Linked DNA regions of Lonchura striata. The protein of the gene in region 1 purifies or fractionates together with the protein of each later gene. This does not show direct contact. Links are inferred from orthologs where the notes say so. Each region holds a gene or a part of one and is shown on either strand. Other genes may lie near its edges.

Evidence for each region. Proteins that work in one complex are often made in the same cells at the same time.
Region 2: the proteins of CYLD (region 1) and SPATA2L purify together in Homo sapiens (affinity purification with mass spectrometry; 3 studies listed by BioGRID and IntAct, with this or other methods). This does not show direct contact. The link is inferred for Lonchura striata from reciprocal best matches to the Homo sapiens genes CYLD and SPATA2L.
Region 3: the proteins of CYLD (region 1) and MAP3K7 purify together in Homo sapiens (affinity purification with western blotting; 4 studies listed by BioGRID, with this or other methods). This does not show direct contact. The link is inferred for Lonchura striata from reciprocal best matches to the Homo sapiens genes CYLD and MAP3K7.

Annotation. Positions count from the first base shown.
Region 1 is NC_134615.1:11,697,172-11,704,897, forward strand, and holds the start of CYLD (ubiquitin carboxyl-terminal hydrolase CYLD), read left to right. Parts: upstream 1-4,719; 5' UTR 4,720-4,821; intron 4,822-5,196; exon of another isoform or gene 5,197-5,443; intron 5,444-7,726. UniProt on the Homo sapiens protein: Deubiquitinase that specifically cleaves 'Lys-63'- and linear 'Met-1'-linked polyubiquitin chains and is involved in NF-kappa-B activation and TNF-alpha-induced necroptosis.
Region 2 is NC_134615.1:22,853,965-22,860,650, forward strand, and holds SPATA2L (spermatogenesis-associated protein 2-like protein), read right to left. Parts: upstream 1,915-6,686; coding exon 1,567-1,914; intron 1,491-1,566; coding exon 678-1,490; 3' UTR 514-677; downstream 1-513. Other genes in the region: VPS9D1 (VPS9 domain-containing protein 1), read right to left, coding at 2,468-2,543, 2,668-2,772, 2,896-2,977, 3,053-3,246, 3,316-3,445, 3,556-4,016, 4,106-4,191, 4,391-4,478 and 7 more.
Region 3 is NC_134605.1:77,513,769-77,521,570, forward strand, and holds the start of MAP3K7 (mitogen-activated protein kinase kinase kinase 7), read left to right. Parts: upstream 1-4,789; 5' UTR 4,790-4,920; coding exon 4,921-5,010; intron 5,011-7,802. UniProt on the Homo sapiens protein: Serine/threonine kinase which acts as an essential component of the MAP kinase signal transduction pathway. Plays an important role in the cascades of cellular responses evoked by changes in the environment.

The sequences.
Region 1 (7,726 bases):
GAAAAACCAAGCAATTTTAATGCAGCACAAATGTGGGAGGCAAACATCCAAAGGACCACATGGATCCTGCCCCACACATTCCTTTAGAACAAACAATTTAAAATAATGTAAAATCAGGGCCATAAACTGGTAATACTTCTCTTCTGCTTTATTTGCAACATAAAACAATGCCAACTTTAACTTGGACTTGGTCTAAATGTAGTTTTGCCAAAATAGCTGTCAGAATGATGAAAAATCCCTTGCATGCAGCTACAGCCACACTGGCAAAAGCCCTGGAGTAGATGCTGTTATATTGGCAGAGTACTTCAGCCACTTTAGCATATTCCATGAGAAAAGTGATTTAAGTTACACCCAAAAAGAAATCTGTACTTGCCAATTCAGCTCTAAGGTGTAGCTATACCAGCCAACTCTTTTAAGTGAAGACAAGGCATGGGTTTCTGGCACTACTCTCATTCCTTTAAAGCTAGATTTATGGGTTTGGTTACAATTGTGAGCAAAAACTGAGGGGGATTTCAGTGTATTTCAATCATGCTGACAGTGTACAGATGTACCTAAACCTTGAATATGGAAACAGTTAATTTATGTGTTGCCAAAAAGCAGTATATTTTGTGATGCTTAGTGCTATTGTCCTGCTCTTGGTAAAGCAAAAAGAAAATACAATAGTGCATTTTTCAGTATATTGTGAGCTCTATTTTCAATTATTTCAGAATAAGTAAGTTCTAGTAAAATTAACCAGGATGATTAAAAGAAATGAGATGTAATATTATATTACAAATCAAAGGTATTCCACAAGACTTCTGCCTGCCTCAATAGAGGCAGCTATTATGGTCACAGCTGGTTCCTGGGGGTGCTCCTCATGCCTGGAGCTGGGACATCCACAGCAGGTTTGGCAGGCTGCTACTGCTCATCCTGCTCCCAGGAGCTCAGGTTTGGTCCAAACAGCACATTGCCATTCACTGGGACCCAGTGCTGTTAGTCTGGCAGCATTTTACCTTGCTAAGTGTCTACTTGATCAGCACATGCAAAACACACTGCAGTACACAGTACTGTTTGCTGGCAGAAGGCATAACTAATATCTCTTTTTATATTCTCAGCTATTCTTCCAACAGTCAAGTATTATGTAAAGGTTAAGCAGTTGAAAAGAAAATTTTCACAATGGTAGCAAAGCATTCTGAGAGACAGGCAAGTGCACTTAGACCATCAATTTACCTTAATACTCATAAAACTGTGGTAAATTTTAATGGAAAAGCATTTTCTGTCATTGTCAGGGATGGAAAAGGGATCCTGATGCAGTGGCTCACTCCGAGTTTGTATTCTGTGAAAGCACTGACTTTGCCAGACATAGACCACTGTGTTATAATGCACCTACCAGGGGATATGGAAAATGTGTGCTCTGCAATAATGCAGGAGTGAGGCAAGGTTAAAATCATAACAGTGCAGTGCATAAAATGTGCCTGTCAGGTGATTTATGTCCTCCATACCCATTTAGAATGAAATGACTCATTTTAAGAAGAATAACTGGGAAGTTTATGGCCAAAACTTGGTGAGAAGCCAAGAGATGAGGCAGCATTGTGATGCCATATAAAGGATGCCTGCTACTATTGAAAGGCTATGTGCTTTTGATACTTAAAGAACCAAAAGGGACTGCTGCCCCAATATCAAACATTCTGCCTTGATTTATATCCTGATCTGGGCAGTCCCCATTTTCCCAATCAGACAGATTACACAAACCCTGATAGATACAATATTTAACCATAGGCTACAAAGCTGGTATCAGCTGGAAAACTTGGCAGCTAAACCAATGTCATATATGAACTGCAGTTTTCTGGTGGATTTTATTGGCATTTTATCACAGACAGAACGAGGTCTTACTCTTGTTAAAGAATGTGGCTGTAATAGCCCTATTACAAAATGCAATCCAGCTTCTGTCCTAAGAAGTGCAGCTTCAGGCAACTTCACAGTCTGTGCTGTTTTTCCATCTCAAGCCCCAAAGTATTTAGCTAAATATGATCTATTTTACTAAATCATCCATTAAAACAGTAGATAATGACAAAAAGCCCTAAACAAACAAGGGGAGGCAGAAATACCTGACATATTTATCCAAGTCCCTTTTTATCACATAACTAATATTTAGAAAGTGCAGTCATATTGTCTTTGATGCTTCTACAAGACCCTTTCCTCTCTGTTTTTTTTTTTAATGCAGCTGGATAAATACCAACCATTTCAATGTTTGAATTAGCTGAAAAAAAATCATCTGTTCTGATGAATATTCTGCACTTTTGGGGCAATGCTGTGAAAAATGAATACCATACTCCTGTCTTGGCACAACATAAAATTCTATTCCATGCTATGCTATAATTTGTTTATGCTAGAATTTGTTTACCATACTTCATTATTACAAAACATGTCTCTCTTAACAAGAGTGTGGTTTAAAGAAATCAGTCGTTGTTTAATGGCAAATGTCTCGTGCTGGTGTTACTGACAGAGTTTTCAACATGAAAGAGATGTAACAGGCCCATTGTACACTGCCAAAGTCCTGTTATCACTTTACAACTCAAGGAGTATGAAGGAGCTGTAGAGTAAACAGCAGTCGTGGCCTGCCTTTCATCTGTGGTCTGTCAGTGACACGGAGCTGTGTGCAAGCCCAGTGGGTCAGCAGGACAGTAACTTGGGTTAAATGTCACAAGCACTGTTCTGTCTGCAGAATGACAGGCTTTGTGAATGGGCCATGTTGGTCATTTTTCCTGTTGAATTCACAGAGGGTTAAGTGCATAATTACATGGAATACAGAGTATTTTTAAATATTTGGTTGTGAGTTATTAGCATCACTACATGTCGTCATTCCTATCAAGAAGTCTGATATTCTATGCTCATAATGTGTCTGTCCCCTTTTCCTCTCACATATAATTATGGTGTACTTTGGCTAATACTTGCAGTCATGTTCCACATGTGATTTATTTATACCCAAAATGTAAACATAATGAAATTTAGGATAACAGGAGTTATAGCAGACATGTTAATGCAGTTTGCAGTAGCACAAAAGGCAGCTCCACAAGCAGAAGCTGCAGCAGCCGTGTGTAGATAGCCATCTTGAGGATCAGCAGAGCATGACTTGGGGTTACTTTGTGCTCTTCTGCTAAATGAGGAAGGCATAAATCTTTGTATATTGTTTAGTGTAATATAATTTCAGTGTTATTTATTTAAAAATTCAATGAGGCTTTGAAATGCAATTTTTCTTTTAAGGAACTAGGTGGAATGATTAGTGTGAGCATTCATTTGTAGTAGATGGAATTTCATTGTTTCCTCGGGATTTCCCAAAAAACTCCTGCTGGTGTCTGTGTCCTTTCCATCTTGCACATACCCACACAAATAAAACCCCCTGTTCTGCCCTCCCATCTTCCTAGCAAAAGCCTTGGGAGTGGCTCACAGTGCTTCAGAACTTAGAAATGGGCACTCCAGCCCTGAGCTGGGGCTGCGCTGGATCTGCTGTCTGTCTGTCTCTGGGTTCTGGAGAGCTATGGGGAAGAACTGGAACGGCCTTCAGCTAACGCTGAACTGCACATGTCACTAAATTACATAAAAACATACATTAAGGGAATGCTACAGGTGCTAAGAAACCAGGGAAGTGTTTATTCATATGCCACTATTACTGTAACCTCCTGAGGTATATGATCAAATGCTGTATCCTTAAAAGATGCTTCTTTGTAGGAAGTCCACTTGTAAAAGTGCAAAACTTTAGAAATATTTTTAAATTAATCATAAAGCACTAGTTTAGAATCTTACATGAATAAAAATGTATCTTCTTAAAACATGTTTTTTTTGATGCTGAAGGTGTAAATGGAGTCTTTAAACCTAACTGTTCTTTTGAGAAACTCCCTTCTATTCCAGGGCTCTTTTCCTCATTCATAATTTAAGCAGAGCTCACTATCTATAAACAGCACTTACTAGTGCAACAGTGGAAGTTGTTAAGTGGATAGAATAGCTCAGCATTCTATGACAGGCACACGGAAAAGGAGGTCGGTTAAAGAAGAACTACATTTGGCTTTTATTACATGAAATATTCAATTTCTTGGGAGTAAAAATATTTCAGAAGCGGGTATTGAAGCCAGACCGAAGCCTGACATCCGCGAGCCGGCTCTGGGCCCTGGGGGCCGCTGCGCCTCCCCTCCCGGGGACATTCCCCGCGGTGTCTCTGCCGCCTCCCGAGGAGCGTCTGTCGCGCCCCGCGTGCTGCCGCACCGGGCACAAACCCGGCGACTCCGGCTCAGGACGCGGAGCGGGGCGCGGCGGGCTCGGTCGGGGCGGAGCGGCGCCGAGCACGCAGCCCTCAGGCAGAGCCGCCCTCAGGCAGAGCCGCCCTCAGGCCGCGCCGCCCGCGCGGACCGGGGCGTGGCACGCGCACGACACGGGCGCGCACTGCCCGCCCCGCCGCTGGGGGCACGCGCGCGCCATCCAATCAGCGCCTCCGGTGTGCCAGAAGTCCCGCCCCTCCGCCCCGCGCGACCAATCAGCGCCCTGCAGGGGGCGTGTTCCGCCGTCCGCCCCCTCCCTGCGGCTCAGACAAGCGCGATGCGCTGGAAAACCCCGAATCCGCTGGTGAGTGGCGGCGCTTGCGGCCAATAGCGCTGCGCAGCGGTGGCGCGGGCGCGCTGTGATTGGCTGCGGGCGCGGCGGAGGGCCGAGGGGGCGGGCCCGCCGCGGCAGCAGGAGCGGGTGTGCGGCGCTCGCTGCGCGGCGGCGATGGGGCAGCGCGGAGCGGGCCGGGCCGGCGCGTCGGGCCCGTGAGGGCTCGGGGACGGACCCGCGGGCGGGCGGGAGGAGGTGAGGAGCGAGCGGCGCCGGGCGCGGCCGCGGGAGTCGCTCGGCGCCGTCGGGCAGGGGCGCGGCCGCCGGCTCGGGCCGCGCTCCGGCCGGGGTCGCGGGCGGTGCCGCCGCCGCTGCGGTGCTGCGGGGCCGGGCCCAGCGGCGGGGCCGCGCTAGGCCGGGGTGGCGGTGGCTCCGCTCTTGGCGGGCCCTGCCGGGCCTTTCCCTGCTTCAGCCTCGCCCCCCGAGCAGCGTCGGCCGCGCCTGAAGTGTTTGGGACTTTCCTTCCCCGTCCTGCGCGGAGCCGCCCGGGGAGCGGAGGTGATGCTCAGGTTTGGGCGGGGGCGAGGATCATTGTCCTCCGCAGCTGAGCCTTGCACGGAGCCCAGCGGGTCGCACGGACGTGCCTTGCCGTGAAACACTCTGTGAGGGAACCAGTGAAATATAATATTCGGTATCATTTCGGAATTTGAGCGCACATATTTCATTTTTTGGGCAGGCCTGGCCGCGAGGTGTCTGCAGAGCGGCTGTATTGGTAAATCTACTAACGCCACAGCATTCTGGCCTTTGGGAATGATTCCTCTTCTGCCTCTCACGGGGATTATTTGTATCAGATTTGTGACGCCGAACACAGCTGCAGGTGCATTTTCTTTTAAGAATCATGCTACCAGTATGAACATCTTTGTATTTCATTGTTTCCACCGGTGTTTTGAGAAACAGTTTCTGTTTCTTCACTCATAGCTTGTATAGCCGACATGTAATTCTGTACAATGAGCTGCAACTAAATTTCCTTGCTCCTAGTTTTAACCTTGCCATGAAAATTGTTTTGGGGCTGTTGAAGAACAGAACTTTGCATCTCAGCTGGTTTAATTATTTTTGGTATTAAAGTGTCAGTTTTTTAAAGAAACCGTATAGTTTATTTTAGCCTTTTTATTTTATACTCTGATTCAGAGCCATAGACGTGTGTTCATTCTGAAACCTGATAGCTGGTTTAAACTTCTTAATATAGTGCATCTAAGGCTCCTGCAGGGTAGAAACAGAGTTCTTGAATTTCAGAGCAAACTGTTATTCTGATGAGATGTCTCTGTAGTGACAACAGTGACTCATAACTGAGGAATAAAGGAAATTAGGGAAGCTTTGAAGTTAGGTAGCTTATGGCCTACCCCTGATAGTTTTAAAAATGTCTTTTTCTTCTGAAGTATGTAGTGTTGCAGTCATAATTGTGTTTTGCCTGTTTTTCCTGAAGTCTTTTGAGCATGAAAAAATTCGGGTAGTGGATGGAATAGAAGAGTGCAGCTGAACAGGCTCTGACACTTAAATTGTTCCTGTTGGTGTCAAGTGCTCTTGGGTTTGCACAAGTCCTGAAGCTGCTGGTGTGTTGTGTGGGGTGACTTTGTGGTAAGGATTAAGTTTCTTGGTTCCCAAGTTAATCATACAGTGGTCTAATAGTTTGTTCTGGTCATAGTCTGCTACGACTGTGCTGCTTGTTCAGCAAAGATTTTTCTTTACTCACAGAATTTAATGGGAAATGGCTCTAAGAATAATCCTAAAATCGGTGGTGTATGTAAATGTATTTTTGGTGCATTGCCAAAACTTAATGTCCTTTTAACAAGCTTTTCTGTGCTCTTAAAATACTAATTCATCACTTGTATTATTTTAAAAGAAGGGTATTTGGTTTTTAAAGCAGTATGGACAGTGGTTGTAGATAAGTTTTTAAAGGAAGGTATTTTTATGTAGTGATAATGAACTCTTTAATAAAGGAAAGCCTTTTGGTACTATAGCCAGGGAGTTTAGTAACATCTCTGGGTAATTAGGGCTTTGAAAGACAGACCACACACCACATAAAGTTATTACATAATCTAAGTGCAGCTGTTGACTGAATTCTTTACTACTAAACATGTGAAGATTCTATTGTTGAAGCAATGGACTTGCAAACAAGATGCATTTATTAAAAATATGTATGATAAATCTTATTTTTTAAAAAATCTATTAATCTTTTTTAAGCTGTTGAACAGACTTTCTCTTTTAATATATTATTTCCATTCATACTTATGAAAATTAAAAGTAATTATTTCTGTAAATGAAGTAGGAAAAATCAGGATCCCCATAATGTTGGAGATACTTGTTTGCAGTCTGCTGGAGATTGGGAAACTGTGGAATGGCTCAGAAGAAAAAGGAAAGTGAAGTGTGTTAGCTCTTGAAAGAACATAAATGGTTTTGAGAACAGAGAATGGAGCTATGCAAAACAAGACAGTTGGTTTTTTTTCCCATTGTGTGAAAAAATTAAAGGGAGAAAATTACTCAGAACTTGTATCCAACTCTTATTTTACTATCTGAGTAGACTTACAAACAACTAATGGTCATTTAATCATGTTTCCATGTGAGGCAGGAGGGGAGGAATCTTGCTGTGTTCTTCATCAGTTTCCACAAAAACTATTTGAGTCCCATGCTCACACCACTTTTTTTGTTAATCATTAACAAACATTAAAGTCCATTTATGTGTATCAGAGGAACGTGAAGAAGAATATTTTTTAACTTGGAAACCCATGGATGGTCTGTGAGACTTTCCTTCAGTGAGGTCTGGGCCTGCCTGGATCCTGCCCCTCAGGAGTTTCTTACCTGGCAGATGGAAGCTCCTTCAGGCACAGCACTGCTGCGAGCTGCTGCAGCAGTGTGGGGCTGTGGTGGTGACACTGACACCCACGTGTCACATCTGTGCATGGTACAAGAGCCTCACCAAGGCAGCACAGCAATCTGTGAGTTCCTAGGGACTGAAAGATGAGGCACTGCCCAGGTTTCAGGTTGTCTGTAGTTACTGCTTTTCTTTGGGGAAAGGGTTTTGTTAAATATTCTGTTTAAAAAGATGAGGGAAATAATTACAGGACTGCTGGATTTCATTGCTTTCCAATAGCTTCTGAAACTG
Region 2 (6,686 bases), about 11 Mb from region 1:
TGGGAACAGGAGTGATGTGTCCTGGCTGAGGTGGAGTCCCTCAGTCCAACAGTCCCAGCGCCATGGGGACGGCTCCTCCATGCATCGGCCCGTGCGGGACGGGGCAGGCTCCGGTCTGCAGCCGGGTGAGCGTGGCCCCAGAGCCAGGAGAGATGGGGCCCAGGGACGCCCAGGCTTGGCAGGGTCAGTCCTGTCCCAGGCGGGTCCTGGTTTGTGCTGTCTGTTGGGGGGAACCCCGACTCTGCCATCAATAAAAGCATCTGTGACAACATTGTGTGGGGTGGCTCCATTTTTAGGTGCCAGCAGGAGCAGCTGGTGGCTCTGCTCTCCTTTCCTCTGGGGACAAGAATGCCTCCATTAACACCCCAGGTTCTGCCCCCTTTAAGTGGATCCTGCCCCCATTCTGAGGAAGACAGGAGCTGCTCCTGCAGGGTGCTGTGCTGTCAGGCATCACTGCAGCCCCTGCCCCTGGACCAGGCATCTTGCTCCCCCTCACCAGGACAGAACACCTCGTGCTGAGACAGCCACTTTACTGATGCACTGAATAATTTACAGCAGCAGCGCCCGGGCTGCAGCAGCGCCTGGGCTCCGCAGTCTCGGCGGCTGACGAGTCCTGGTCCTTGTGCCAAGCAGGGCCGTGCCCACCCCTGCCCGGGGCAGCGGCTGCAGCAGCCACGTCAGGAGCGGGGCGCAGAGCCCTTGGCCAGCAGCATGTCCAGCTCGGTGCGCTGCAGCCACAGGCGCTGCTGCCGCTCCCCGCGCAGCTCCTGGCCGCGGTGCCGGCTGCGGCAGGCGCGTCCCACGGCGCAGCCGCCGCCGTGCAGCTGCCGGCACGTGCTGCAGCAGTACGAGGGCAGCATGCCCCGGTGCAGGCACGAGTGCAGCTGGTAGCAGGGCAGCTCTGGCGTGGCCTGGGGGGAATCCCAGAGCTCCCCCAGCACCTGGGGGTTTCTGCTGGTACCCACCAGCTCCCGCTCCGGGAAGAGGTGAGAGGAGGTGTCCGGATCAGCGCTGCCCACAGGCTCTGGCCCGAGTGTGCTGTCGCAGCGTCCCCAGCCCCTCCTGGGCACATCCTGAGGGTCCCTCCACAGCACTGGGGGGGCTGTGTCTTTGCTCCCCATGTCCTCAGGGCTGTCTGGCCTCTCCTGGTAGAGATCCACGTCGTCACCGCAGTCGGGAGCCGCCCTGCGCCGCGTCCCCAGGTCCTGCGGCATCTCCAGGCGCCCCTTGGCACCCCCGGCCCGATGCCGTGCCTCCAGCAGCTCCTCGGCGCGGGGCAGCCGCGGCGCCAGCTCCGCCAGGATCTCGCACTCCAGGCGGCAGGCCAGGAACCCGACGGCGGCGGCGATCAGCGCGGGCCCCGGCGGCAGCCGGCCCACAGCCAGGCGGTGCCGGTCCCGCCGCTCGTAGCCCAGGCGGCCCAAACTCCGCAGCAGGTCGGCTTCGGGCAGCGCTGGGCGCAGCAGGTGCACGTAGGCGCCGGAGAAGGTCTGCAAGGAGAGCGGGGAGCGTGGCCGGGGGTGTCTGGGTACCCCCACAACACCCCTTGCCACCTCAGGGCCTCACCGGGATGGTGCCGAACTCCCGGCGCCACGGGAAGAGGTAGAGGTTGACGGCCGCCAGCTCCAGCAGTCGGAAGGCGCTGGCCAAGCCTCGCAGCGCCAGCCCGGGGTCGGGGTGGTCCCGCAGCCCCCGGGCCAGCAGTGCCAGGGCGTCCTCCTGCAGGGCCTCCAGCAGCGCCGGCTCCCGCTGCAGCCGCTGCCGCAGCCGCTCCGCCACGGCGGGGCCGGGGCAGGTCCCGGCGGGGCCGGCCTCCCGCTCCAGCGAGCGCCGGTACTCCTGCTGGAATTCCTGCCGCAATTCCTGCCCGTAGTCCTGCCGGTGCTCCTGCCGCAGCGCCGAGCCTGCACACATCCTGCGGGTACAGCGGCGTGAGACCCCACCCCGGTACCCCGGCACCCCCTCCCGAACCGGTGAGACCCCCCCGCCGAAGCCTCAGCCCCGGAACTCCGCTGCCCCGAGGCCTCCCGGTACCAGTCCTCCCGGTGTCATTCGCCGGCCCTGGTTTCCCCCGGTTCCCCGCGCCGAGGCCTCCCGGTGCTCCCACCCGGCCCGTGGTTCCGCCCTGGTCCCGGTTCCCCCGCACCTGCCGGTCCCCGGTCCCGGTCCCGGTTCCCCCGTACCCGCCGGTCCCTGGTTCCGGTCCCGGTTCCCCCGCACCTGCCGGTCCCTGGTTCCGCTCTGGCCCCGGTTCCCCCGCACCTGCCGGTCCCCGGTCCCGGTTCCCCCGCCCGCCCCGCTCGCGCTCCGTTCCCGCTCCCCTTCCGCGCGCGCCGGGCCGGCACGCACGCGCCGCCCGTAGCTCCGCCCCCGGGGCGGGGCCGATCCCCGCGCCACAGCGCCCCCCGGCGGGCGGGAGGACCCGCAGCACCTGCCCGGGGCGCGGGGGTCCCGCGGCGCCCCCTCCTCACTGCAGCGACTCCACGTAGGACAGGGCGCTCTGCAGGGACGTCAGGCAGTACCCCTCCTCTCCGATCAGGTACCTGCGCCCACACCCGTGTCACCACCGCGACACCACCACACCCACCGGGCTCAGCCCTGTCCCGGGAGGGTGCGCCGGTGTCCCGAGCCCACGGTGCCTGCATGGCCCCGCACCCCCGCACGTACCCCTCGTGGATGAACTCCTCCAGGGCGGCACACTCGGAGAGCAGCTGCGGCAGCCCCGTCTGCAGCACCACGTAGGACAGGATGGGCAGCAGGTCGTCTGCCCCGCTGCGACAACAGAGGCCATCAGCCACGGCGGCCACAGGGACTGGCACGCCAGCAGCTCACCGCGCAGCTCCGTAGCACCGGCCACAGCAGCCGCCCGTCCCGCTCCGTAGCTCCCGCACTCACATGGCGGCCGCGGCGAGGCTCCGGGCGTCGCGGCTGCCGCAGTACTCCTCGGCACACTCGCAGATGCCGCGCAGGGCCCGCACTGCGGCGCGGGGCGGGCGTCAGGGTGACCGCGGCCGGCCCCGCGCCCCGGCCCCGCGCCCCCCGCGCCGCTCACCGATGCACTCCAACTTCCTGCGGGGACACGTCTCCAGCGGGATGAGGCGCAGGTCCCGCACGGCCGAGGCGTACGCGGGCCGGCCGGCGCCGGGCGGGAAGAGGCGCGACGCCAGCCCCATGTCGGCGGGGCCGGCGTGCCGGTGCCGCTCCATGCTGCGCGCCAGGGCCGCCTCGCGGGGCTGCTGCACGGTCCTGCGGGCACGGAGGTGATGGGGGTGCCGGGAAGGGCTCGGCGGTGCCCTCCGAGGCGGGTCATGGTACCTGTAGAGAGCCAGGAGCGGCGCCCACAGCGGGGGGAAGAAAGCCTCCTCCAGGCACGCCAGGCACTGGTCCTTGCCGGCGGCGGTGCCGAGCCCCTCGAAGGCCAGCAGGGTCAGAGCCAGCAGCCTGTCTGGGAAGGGCGAGGCACGCAGCACGCTGGGACCCCCCCGTCCTGCCCACCCTGTGCCCCGGGGTGCAGGAGAGCCCCCCGCCCGCCCGCAGCCCCTCGCTGTCCCTCACCGATGGCGTTGTGGATGTCCCTCACGACGCCCTTCAGCAGCTCCGGCAGCGCCGCGTCCTGTGCGGAGCTGGCCGGGGGCTCTGCGGGGGCCCAGCCCTCGGGGGACGCCAGGAACCGCTCCAGGTCCTCGAAGGAGCTCTCCCGGGGGGTCTCGGGGGGCTCGGTGGGTCCCGGGGCGCCGCCGTCGGCCAGGGGCGTGCTGGAGCGGCTGTGGCGCAGCGCGGCCGGGCCGTGCTCGGGCACCGAGAACATGCAGTGCAGGCTGCGGGACGCCCGGAGCCGGCGGCCCCCCGGCTCGGGGGGCAGCGAGGAGCCCCCCGCGTCCAGCGACAGGAAGGACAGACCCGAGGGGGAGGCAGGGGAGGCGTCGGCGGGGCCGCGGCTGACGGCCGGGTAGAGCCGGGCGTACACCGCACACTGCAGCCGCCGCAGCAGCTGCGTGATGGGGTGCTCGGGGCAGCTGTGGGCAGAGCGATGGGGTGGGCAGGGGGCACCGGCAGCAGCTGCAGCCCCCTCGCTCTGGCAGGGCCGTGCCCAGCCCAGCAGTACCTCAGGAGGCAGGAGAAGAGCCCCGACACCACTGAGAGATCCGCCGGGCTCCGCTTCAGCTGCGCCTTCCACTGCTTTGGCCAGTCCTGGGGAGTGTCCAGGGCTGGTCATGGGGATGGCACAGTCTCCTGCCCTGTGACACAGCCTCCTGCCCCATGGCACAGCCTCCTGCCCTCAGTCACAGCCTCCTGCCCCATGGCACAGCCTGCTGCCCTCTGTCACAGCCTCCAGCCCCATGGCACAGCCTCCAGCCCTGCCAGCAGCCCCTGGCACACACTCACTCACATGGTCCTGCTCATACTCGAGGATGGCAGCATAGAGTGCCCGCTGCTCCTGCTCCTCGGGCGTGAGGGCCACGCTGCTGGAGAACCTCCTGGGGACAGCCCGGGCCATGAGGGCACTGCTGGGTGTCCCCAGAGCCCAGGGTCCCTGCGGTGACAGCCCCACTCACCGGTTGGCCGCCTCCTGCAGCCGCAGCCGCCGCTCTTCCATCTTGCGCTGCAGCTGGGCCGGGCACAGTTAAGGGTGCAGAGCCACCACCGTGCTCACCCACTGCCCTCTGCCCTCCCCCATCCCCCAGCTGGGACCCCAAAGGCCTGTGTGGGGTGGGTGACACCCAGGCCAGGGTGGAGCAATCCCACTGGGAAGGATACAGTCTCCTCCCGGGCCTTGGCGATCACCAGGTTCTCCATCATCTGCCGCTGCAGGGACAGCGTCTGCGGAGCAGGAGGGCATTTGGGAACATCACCCACACCCCACGGCCACCAGTGGGGAGGGGGGCTCCCCCAGGGACCCTCTCCCTGCCTGGCTGCCGGCTCTGCCCAGCTCCCAGCTCCTCCCCAGCCCGCACTTGCCAGGGATGTTTTCTGCACGGCCTGGCTCGGGTTCAGCCGCGCCACTCGCGCCTCGTAGGCCGCCTTCAGCTTCTGGTTCTGCAGGGAGGCCTCCTCCAGCGGGGTCAGCTCCCTGCAGGAACGGCCTCAGCACTCGCCACAGGGCACAGGACACGTGCCAGGACCACATCCTGCTCCGTGACTCCCCAGGCGGGCGCGGGGCCACCGCCAGTCCTTGTATCCCAAACCCTCGTGTTTGAACCCCCCATGTCCTACTCGCTGTGTTTGAGCCCCCCACGTCCCAACGCCTGTATCCCAGCCCACAGCAGCCCCCCATGCTCCGCCAGGCTCTGTTCCAGCCCCATTGTCCCAGCTCCGGGTCCAAGCCCCCCGTACTTCCGTGCGCTCTGTGCCTCAGCGATCTGCAGCTTCTGGAAGATCTCCGGGGGCAGGAACGGCGAGAGCTTCCCCCCCTCGTCCGAGCAGACGCGGCGGTGCCGGGGCAGGGGCGCGGGGCCCCCGCCCCGCTCCTGTGCAGCCGCTTTCACCTGGGCTTTCCCTGGGCAGGGGGCAGGACAGGCCGGCTGTGCCTCACCCCTGCGTGGGCACCCGGCTGCCCAGCACGGGACCCCCACCCCTCACTCACCCAGCGCCGCTGCGATGGATTTGACCCTCTCCAGGCACTGCTCCGCCAGCTTCAGCAGTTTCGGGGTGTCAGGGGTGACCCCCTCGCTGCTCTCTGCGGGGAGGCTGTGTTGAGGGCACTGCAGGGCTTCCCCCGACCGCCCGGGTTCGGCGGGGGGACACGGGGTCCTGCCTCACCTGTCCCTGCCGCCTCCTCCTGCAGGGCCTGGGCGATGAGGGTGATGCTCTTCAGGTACTCCACGTACGCCTCCTGCCAAGGTGGGGGCTGAGCGGGGACCCCGGGAACCCCCCGGCCTCGGGGGATCGCAGCTCCGGCTCCCAGTGGGAGACGCGGGGAGTTCCGGGGATGCGGCGTAGCCCAGGGGTGCCGGCTCAGACCGGGGAAGCTGCCCCGGTGAGCCACGAGTCCGGGGGCATGCCCCGGGATGCAGGATGAGCCCCGGGATGCAGGATGAGCCCCGGCATGCAGGATGAGCCCCGGCATGCAGGATGACCCCAGGGGTGCTGCCCCGCGGCTGGGGGTGAGGCCGGCGGATGAAGCCGAGGGATGCGGGGGGAGCGCAGGGATGCAGGAGGAGGCCGGGGATGCAGTCCGGGGGATGGGGGTTGATGCCGGGGATGCAGGATGAGCTCGGGGGTTGATCCCGGGGATGCAGGATGAGCCCGGGGATGGGGGTTGATCCCGGGGATGCAGGATGAGCCCGGCGGTTGATCCCGGGGATGGGGGTTGATCCCGAGGATGCGGGATGAGCCCGGGGGTTGATCCCGGGGATGGGTGTTGATCCCGGGGATGGGGGTTGATCCCGAGGATGCGGGATGAGCCCGCGGGTTGATCCCGGGGATGCAGGATGAGCCCGGCGGTTGATCCCGGGGATGGGGGTTGAGCCCGGCGGTTGATCCCGGGGATGGGTGTTGATCCCGGGGATGGGGGTTGATCCCGGGGATGCAGGATGAGCCCGGCGGTTGATCCCGGGGATGCAGGATGAGCCCGGCGGTTGATCCCGGGGATGCGGCCGAACGCGGGGGTCCCTCCCCGGCCGTCCCCGCGCTCACCCTGCTCCGGCCGGCGCTGTCCATGCCCAGGGCGCCGCTGGCCGCCCTCA
Region 3 (7,802 bases), on another chromosome or scaffold:
TCTAAAATACCTTTGCTAATTTATAGCTACCTACATTGACACCTCTGTTTAACACATCTTCCATCAGCAATTTCATGTACCATATCTTTCAGACTTCTCAGCTCAAGATCAACCAGTCTACAGTCATCTATCTCTTTCTTCTCCATGTGAAATTTGTTACTACCTTTCTCCCAAGCCAAGTCCAGCTGATGATAGCTGTGCCAGAGAAAATGTGTTTGTTTGGTTACAAGACTGAATCTATACAGTCTCTCACCTTTACTTTGCCCTTACTGCACAGTGGCTGCATTATTTGACTTTCCTGGCTCTCTTTTTGGTTTAGACTACTAGAAAAATCTTGGAGATCTAACACATCTCAGACTAAGAGGCAAAATAAGGTTCAGAAACAAATGTGATCATTTGAGTTTCTGTAATACTCATACAATAGAACTTTTCCTTTTACTAAAGTGAATACAATTCCTTGCATACAACTGAGTTTCCTATTTAGCAAAGCAGCTCACGCATTTATTTTGCAAAGCTTTTTTCAGGGTATTTTTAATATATGCATTTTATCACAAATAATAAGGAACACCCCCACTGAAGGAATTAATAGCTGTTTAGGAGATTTTACATAGTGTGGGGAAGTCTTCCCAGAATGCAAAAGAAGCAATAAAAATACATGAAGCATGCTGGGCATGCTATCTCAATGTATTTGGCAGAAGACACCTTTGTGATGTTTCCCAAGACTTTGCAAACGATTAATGCGGGACATAATTGAAGAACTCATTGAGATTCAAAGTAGAATCACACACAATATTGCAACCTGCTCTTGGGAAATATTAATGTACAAACCAAAGGAGTTGCATGAGAAGAGTGGATTACGCAACAACTTGGCCATGCAGAGAAACAGAAATCTCTCAATATAGTCACAGTGTTCTGTCTTCATGAGGTATTTCCACTGCACCTGCATTGGAACAAGCAGTGGGCTCCTCTTGGATGCCTCCTAGCTGGGATATGAATTTGTGGGGCACGTGTTTCATAGTGTTCTCCATACTACTATGGAGACATGCTCTTTAATCACAAAGGGTTCCCACAAATTGAAATAACGTAACTTCATATTTACAAGACAATATTTAACAGGGACAAAATAGAGTTAGACTTGGCAGAAACATTCCTGTGCTTAATCTAGAAGGGAACATTTTTTGATGTGGACATTACAGTTGCAGATACCATCCAGTATGTTCCACTGTTTTCTAGTTTCAATCTTCAATCACCTAAAGTGAAACATTTTAACCACTTTAAAAAAATGCATATACTAAAAATACAACAAAAGTTGAAGTCTTTTGAAAGAAGAAATCACTTAGCTTTTTTCTAAATTAGTGGAAAATAATGCTTCTTCACCCCTCTTTAAAAATTGTCAGAGTAACTTTAAGGGAGGTAGACAAAGGGTAGCCAGGATAATGTATCTGTGCTTTTGTCTGTATTCATGAAAATGTGTCCAAATTCTAAGTTGTACAATTCCATATTATATTGGATAAATTTTCATTAGGATCTGCAGATATTAGGGCTAAACTTCAGGTGTGTTAAGCTGTCCAGGTGGACTTTGTTTATATTTTGCATCAGACCTACTGCTGTCTCTTCTGAAAAAACAGAGCCCTATACTCTAGGACAGGTGTGACAAAGAGCTCCACAGCAGCTGTCTCAGCTTTGAGTGTGCACACTCTGGCTATGGTACCCAGATGTTTCCAACAATCTTCAAGTGATCACCCACCAGGCAGTGTAACTACTTTGCAATGTTAGAGAGAGGCTACTGAGACCCAGAATGTGGATTTCCCAGGTTCCAGGTTTTTCTCCAAAACACAAGAGCAGTTTTTGTCCAAAATAAACACAACAGATATAGCTTTTCTTTTCCTTTTTCTCCTGTATTTGTTGAATAAATATTTTGGAGATGCACAACCAATACTCAGTCCACAAAATAGCTAATTGTAACTAATTAAGATTATGTCAGTCGGGAAAGAAGGAAAAAAAAAAGTAATATCAAAATTACCACAGCCTTAAAACCCCTCCTGATCTTCACAGCAGTGACATTTTGATAATGATGATGATTCTGCCTTCACAAAGAAAGAGCTCATTATTTTTGATACATATTTCCACATCAATTTCTGAAAGGAAATGAACCTTACAAGCAACTATAATTGGAATGCTCTCTTCTGCTGTCTTAATACCCATCAACAAAGTATAACAAAGGTAACAGAAAAGTCTCTCCACTGAAAAACAGAAGACTGCAACTGCCATTTGCTTGATACATACCCTCAGGAGAGGTCTGTGAAACATAACAAAAAAACCAAATATTCAGTTACATTTACCAGAGATCACCAACTGCCAACGTCTAAAGCACAACCACCCTCTTGGCCATCTTTCTAAAAGGTACTGATGTAGTTCATCTTTCCCAATGCATATGTACCCAAAAAATAAATAAAACGTTAAGCTTTTGGCCTGAAAGCATGTTCATGACTACAACTAAGTATCAAGATTATGGATTTCAAGTATCCAGTGATGGATTTTCACACCTTGTTTTCTTTTCATTCATGCATTTTCCTTGGTTTCAGTTGACTTCAGGTGTTCCTTGTCTTGATCTACAAGTGTTTAAAGAACTAAAGCAATTCATTCAGCAGTATGAAGCCAGTATGAACCAGACTGAAAAGTCTGGTTTTTATTGAACTTGCAATTTTCTCAATCCCTCAGAAATCCATTTTCTTCATCTTCCAATAATCAATATATTGCATACTCCAGCAGCTGAGACAGCAGCAGCTGCTTACTCAAGTGATACACTTTCCTGTAAGTTGTGAAGTCCGGGTATAAACATGGCTCTTTATGACTGTGTCACAGCATGACCAAGACATGCACTAATAGTGGCTTTTGAAAAAATGAAAATTAAACACTTCACTGGGTATAAGGTGGTGCCAGGGTCTGTGTGAACATCCAAACCTATAAACAACCTGGAAAAGCAGGGGTTCTGAATAACCCCACTGCTGGATGAAGCAGGTCTAATATCTGCTTCGGATTTTAATATCTGCTGATATCTACTTCCAGATTTTGTGGTACTTGGACTAACAGAAGATTCTTTAGATCTTTCTACACCAAACCATATCTGAAAATCAAAAATGAACAGCAGAAACTCAGCACAGTCAGCATATGAGTCTGCTCGCCACGTATACGCAGATTGCTTGGGCAATGTAATTGCATCAACCCAACCAGTCCTGCATACGAGTTTCATCTTGCATGCCACAGAGTCAACATGTACTGTGACTGCTTGGCTGGGATTTCTGGACTGGTGTACATCTGAAAACCCTGTGCAAATTACAAAAGCTGACAGAAAAACACAAGAGGGGAGCAAACAACCCATAATGGCAACCTGCCACAAAGTGCAGCAGCTCTGATAGAGGTACTTTCACTTTGGCTTTTTAACAACAGCTGAGCCACCATAAGATTAGGTCACTTCCCATATTCATCCTTGATTTTTTTTTTTTTTTTTTACTAGTTAACTGTTTAAGTGACTTTCTCAGGCTAGCTCTGTAAACCAGATCTCTCTACATTTTTGAGACTTCCTTGTGAGGTACAGACATTCACTAGCATGCTAGCAGTGGAAGATCTAGGAAAGCTTACTAGATGTACTAAAATTACATACTATTAATAGTATTGTACAATAACATAACTTTTTATATATAGCCTGAAGGCTAAACATATAAAAATGAAGCACAGCTGTTTCAGGGGAACACAGCAGCTCTATTCACTCATCTCAGCACTGATTTCACACCATGGACTGCCCTGAAGCGTCAGTCTCAGACATTTCCCACCGAAACACTAATGGGGTGGGTGCTCCAGCCAAAAACAGGAGCAGGATACAGCCCTGGCAAAGAGCGGACAGGACTCCCTTGGAGAGGGAGCGGTTAAGGTGTACGTTCATCCCCCATCCCTTTAGTACTACTATCTGTTTACATCAACCGCTCCATTACCCCCACTCCTCAGCTGCCCTCCTACACACAGGTTTCCCCTGAGAAAGCACCGCTGAAGAGCACAAGGCCTGCCCTCGTCCCAAGACGCCGTACAGCACCTGCTGCCCTGGAGAAATACAGGCACACACCCAGGAAAAAGGCATGTGCGTATGTATGTAGGGAACAGGCCCCCGCGCTCGCAGGGCGGTACACGCAGCCCGGGACGGGGCCGCGCCTGGCAGCTGCCCGGACCCCGCCGGGCCCATCCCCGGCGGCAGGAACAGGAAGCGGGGCCGGCCCGGGGCCGCGGCTGCTCCCCCTGGCGGCGGCGGCGGGGCGCGGCGGGGGCGGTGCCGCCGCCAGGCCGTGGCCCCGCCGCGGCCGCCCGAGAGGCCGCTGCTGCCGGCGCTTCCCGCCCGCCCCCGCCTGGCGCTCCCTCCCTCCCTCCCTTCCCCGCTCTTTCACTCCGTCCCTCCCTCCTCGGCCGGGGCAGCAGGAAGCGGCTCTGATGTCAGCGGCGGCGGCCGCGGCGCGGCTCTGAGCGGCTCCCCCACCCCCGCCGCGGCCCCTCTCCCGCTGCCGCCGCCGGGGCTGGCGGAGGAGCGCGGCTGCGGCCCCGGGGGCGCCGCCTTCTCTCGCCCGCGGACGCGCGGCCGCGGCGGTCCCGAGCTGCTCGGAGGCCGCGGCCTAGGGCAGTCGGCGCGGCGCCCCGCGGGGGTGCGGGAGGGCTCGGGATGCGCAGCGGCGGCGCCGGGGCCTGTGCCCGCCGCCAGTGAGGCCCGAGGCCGCCGCGGATGCGGCCCCGGCGGCGCCTCGGCCAGGCCCGCCCCGACCTGCGCCGGGAACCGCCGCCGAGCCCCGCGTAGCCCCGGCTCCGGCCCTCGGCTGCCTGGTGCCGGACCCTCGCGTAGCCCCGGCCCCCTCTCCTCCCTGCGGTGAAAGAGGAGGCATGTCTGCTGCCGCCTCCGCTGAAATGATTGAAACCCCCCCGGTCCTCAACTTCGAAGAAATCGACTACAAAGAGATCGAGGTGGAAGAGGTGAGTGAGGGTCCCGCCGTGCCCCTCGCTCCCCGGGCGCGGCCAGCCTGGCCCCGCCACGCAGACCCCGAGCGCCCCCGGGGTTCCCCTCCCTGGCGCCGGCCCTCGGCTGCGGGAGGGTCCGCGGGGGCTTCGCGGGTGCTCCGGGGTGCCAGACCCCCCCAGTACCTGACCGGGGGTTCTCTGCTCCTGTGGATGCTACTGCGGCTGGCACCAGCGAACAAAGCGGTCTGGCTGGCTGAGAGCGGAGGTGCCAGCTTACTTCTGCCGGACCTGCTGCTGGATGCCTTACTGTGGAGTTTTGTTTAAACGGGATAGATTTATTCAGTCAGGACTTTAAAGTTTCGCCTCCCATTTTGCCACCCACTTTAGTATGGGTGGCAAGCATAGTTGTCAAGAGGGAACTGTTAACTCTAATGTTTCTTTTAGATCTCTATTTCTCTATGGCCCTGCTTTCACCTTCTGCCACCAAACTGAGCCATTGTGTATATAACGATCATGCTGCTCTTAATGATTTGCTAAATTTACAGCTCTGTGAGCTGTTACGATAAACAGGGTTTTTTTTTCTTAACATGGGCTAGTTATGTTGCACTCATGGATATTTAAGGAAGTCACATTCAGTAATTTTATAACAAAGTTGGAAGTTTTTCTTCTGTGAAATTCACATAGTGAAATTATTTCAGGTGTACCTTTCATCTGTCGGGTTCATGTGAAAGTAGGGGGGGTGTGATCTAGGGTAGCTCATATGCTTTGATAACAGGCTCAGTAGTCTCTATATACTACAGTGTTGTTTGACTCTCAGAAGTACACAAAAATATTTCTGCTGTTTTTTCCTGTCACCTACTGAATTCTCTACAGGAATAAAGTCTCTTCATGTAGATCTATAACAAATTTGATGAGTCCAGCTTGTAGAGTCTGGACTGCTGAAACAGTCCCTGTGCTTTTTTTATAGATTAACATTTTTCTCTTTAAGAGATAATTACCCTGTTTTCCTTAAAAAGTTTGTGTGGAAGTGGAGTTTTGTGTAGTAGCTTTTCTAGGTATGATAACCTGTGTCTCAGGTTTTTAGAGTAGTTTGCTAGATACTGGTTTGTTTATAATTATCCTACTAGGCTTGGGTCTCCTGAGGATAATTCAGGGACCTTAAAATCTGCCATGGGGCACCAGGGCACCTTCTGCTGTATTCAGGCAGTGTTGTGATAACTTCGGCTTTCACCATAGCAGGCACTGGGTGCTGGGAATTTTCAGAAGACAGTATATTTCAAAATACTGCCTTTATCTTTTTCTGTGAATTTGGCAACCATAAAGACTTTTGTTTTTGTAAGTCAAGTTGTTCTACCTGCCTTTATGCATTTAACTATTCTGAAGTGAAGTAATTTTGTTGTTTTTGTAACACTTAGTAATAGCTGGGGATCAAATAGCCTATTTTGGGAGAAATAGCATTTCTCACCCAATGAAGAAAGTTTAAGCTGGTTATCCATTGTAAAAAGGTGCCCAGTGATGGCTCACGGAAGTGAGTGCCACATCTGCTGTGTTAGATGTAGCCCTTTGAATTAATAAAGTGCTATACAAATCTTTAATCCTCACAACACACTTGGGGAGGTTGTTAGCAAGGATTGTATTGCTGTTTTACATGTAGGAAACGTGGAGCTGCATAGTGTGTAATTGGTGTAACTAGAGTTTAGTATTCTAAGGTTTAGTGCTCAGAGATTGACTGTCCCACACATGTGCCTGGTACTGGCAGAAACAGGATTGTCAGTACAAAAATGTATCTAGAGACAATGCCTAAGTAAAAATTTGTTTAATACAGTTGTTTTGTTATTCTCAACACAGTATCTTCGTAGAGATGCAAAACTCATGTGATATAAGCAAGAGAATAGAACTTTGATAGTGTCTCCATAAAAAAATCTTGTTAAAGCTGGCATATCGTTTTGAGTTAACCTGTCCTCCCAGAAGTTCTTATAGACAATGGGAATACCCTAGTGTTAAACACAGTCAAATGTCTTTGCACAGAGGAAGAAATAAGACCTACTTTACAAGAAAACAGATGGATTGGAAATCATACTTAGGTCTTGCTTTTCTGAGCTATGGGTGTTGACCTCTTACTCAGGATGCAGTTTCAGCACAAATAGTCAACTTTGTAGTCACATCAAAACACACATCCTTGCTGAGGATTTTCTGTGCTCTCACTTTAGGCTCAGAGGTTTTCAAGGATTTTAAGTGGCTGTATGTCTCAAAAACGTCTCAAAATTGTCATATTTATGCTTGGCAAACTTCAAATGTTTCAAAATGGAGTGTTAAGAGATCTACATTGGAAACTCAACTGCTTTTATAATCATAGCTTTGCTGTTGTATTATCAAGGCTGTCTTGTCAGCAGATAGCAGTCCCACTCTGACACTGGTTTATTAATAGATGTTGAAGTTCTGGAATACTTGCAGGCCCAGAGACCTTGCTAATAAACGTGAAATCTATAAGTACACTTTTCATTTAGTTTTGTCTGAACTCTACTGAGATAAAACCAAGAATTAACATATTTTCCTTTAGCTACTGTGCACATGACCAGCTGTAGTGTTACTTCCCACCAGTCAAACATATCTCCACCATCATAATGCCTTTTTGTTATTTCAAGTGCTTAAAATGAAGTAAACCATAGAGACAATTGTTATGAAGGAGTTGGAGTAAAATCAAAATCGATGTGACACGGCAGGAGCATCTTCAAAACTAAAACAGGGGAAACAACACAAAATTTAGTTCAACAGAAGTGCTCTCTATTTTACTATGCATGTGTTTG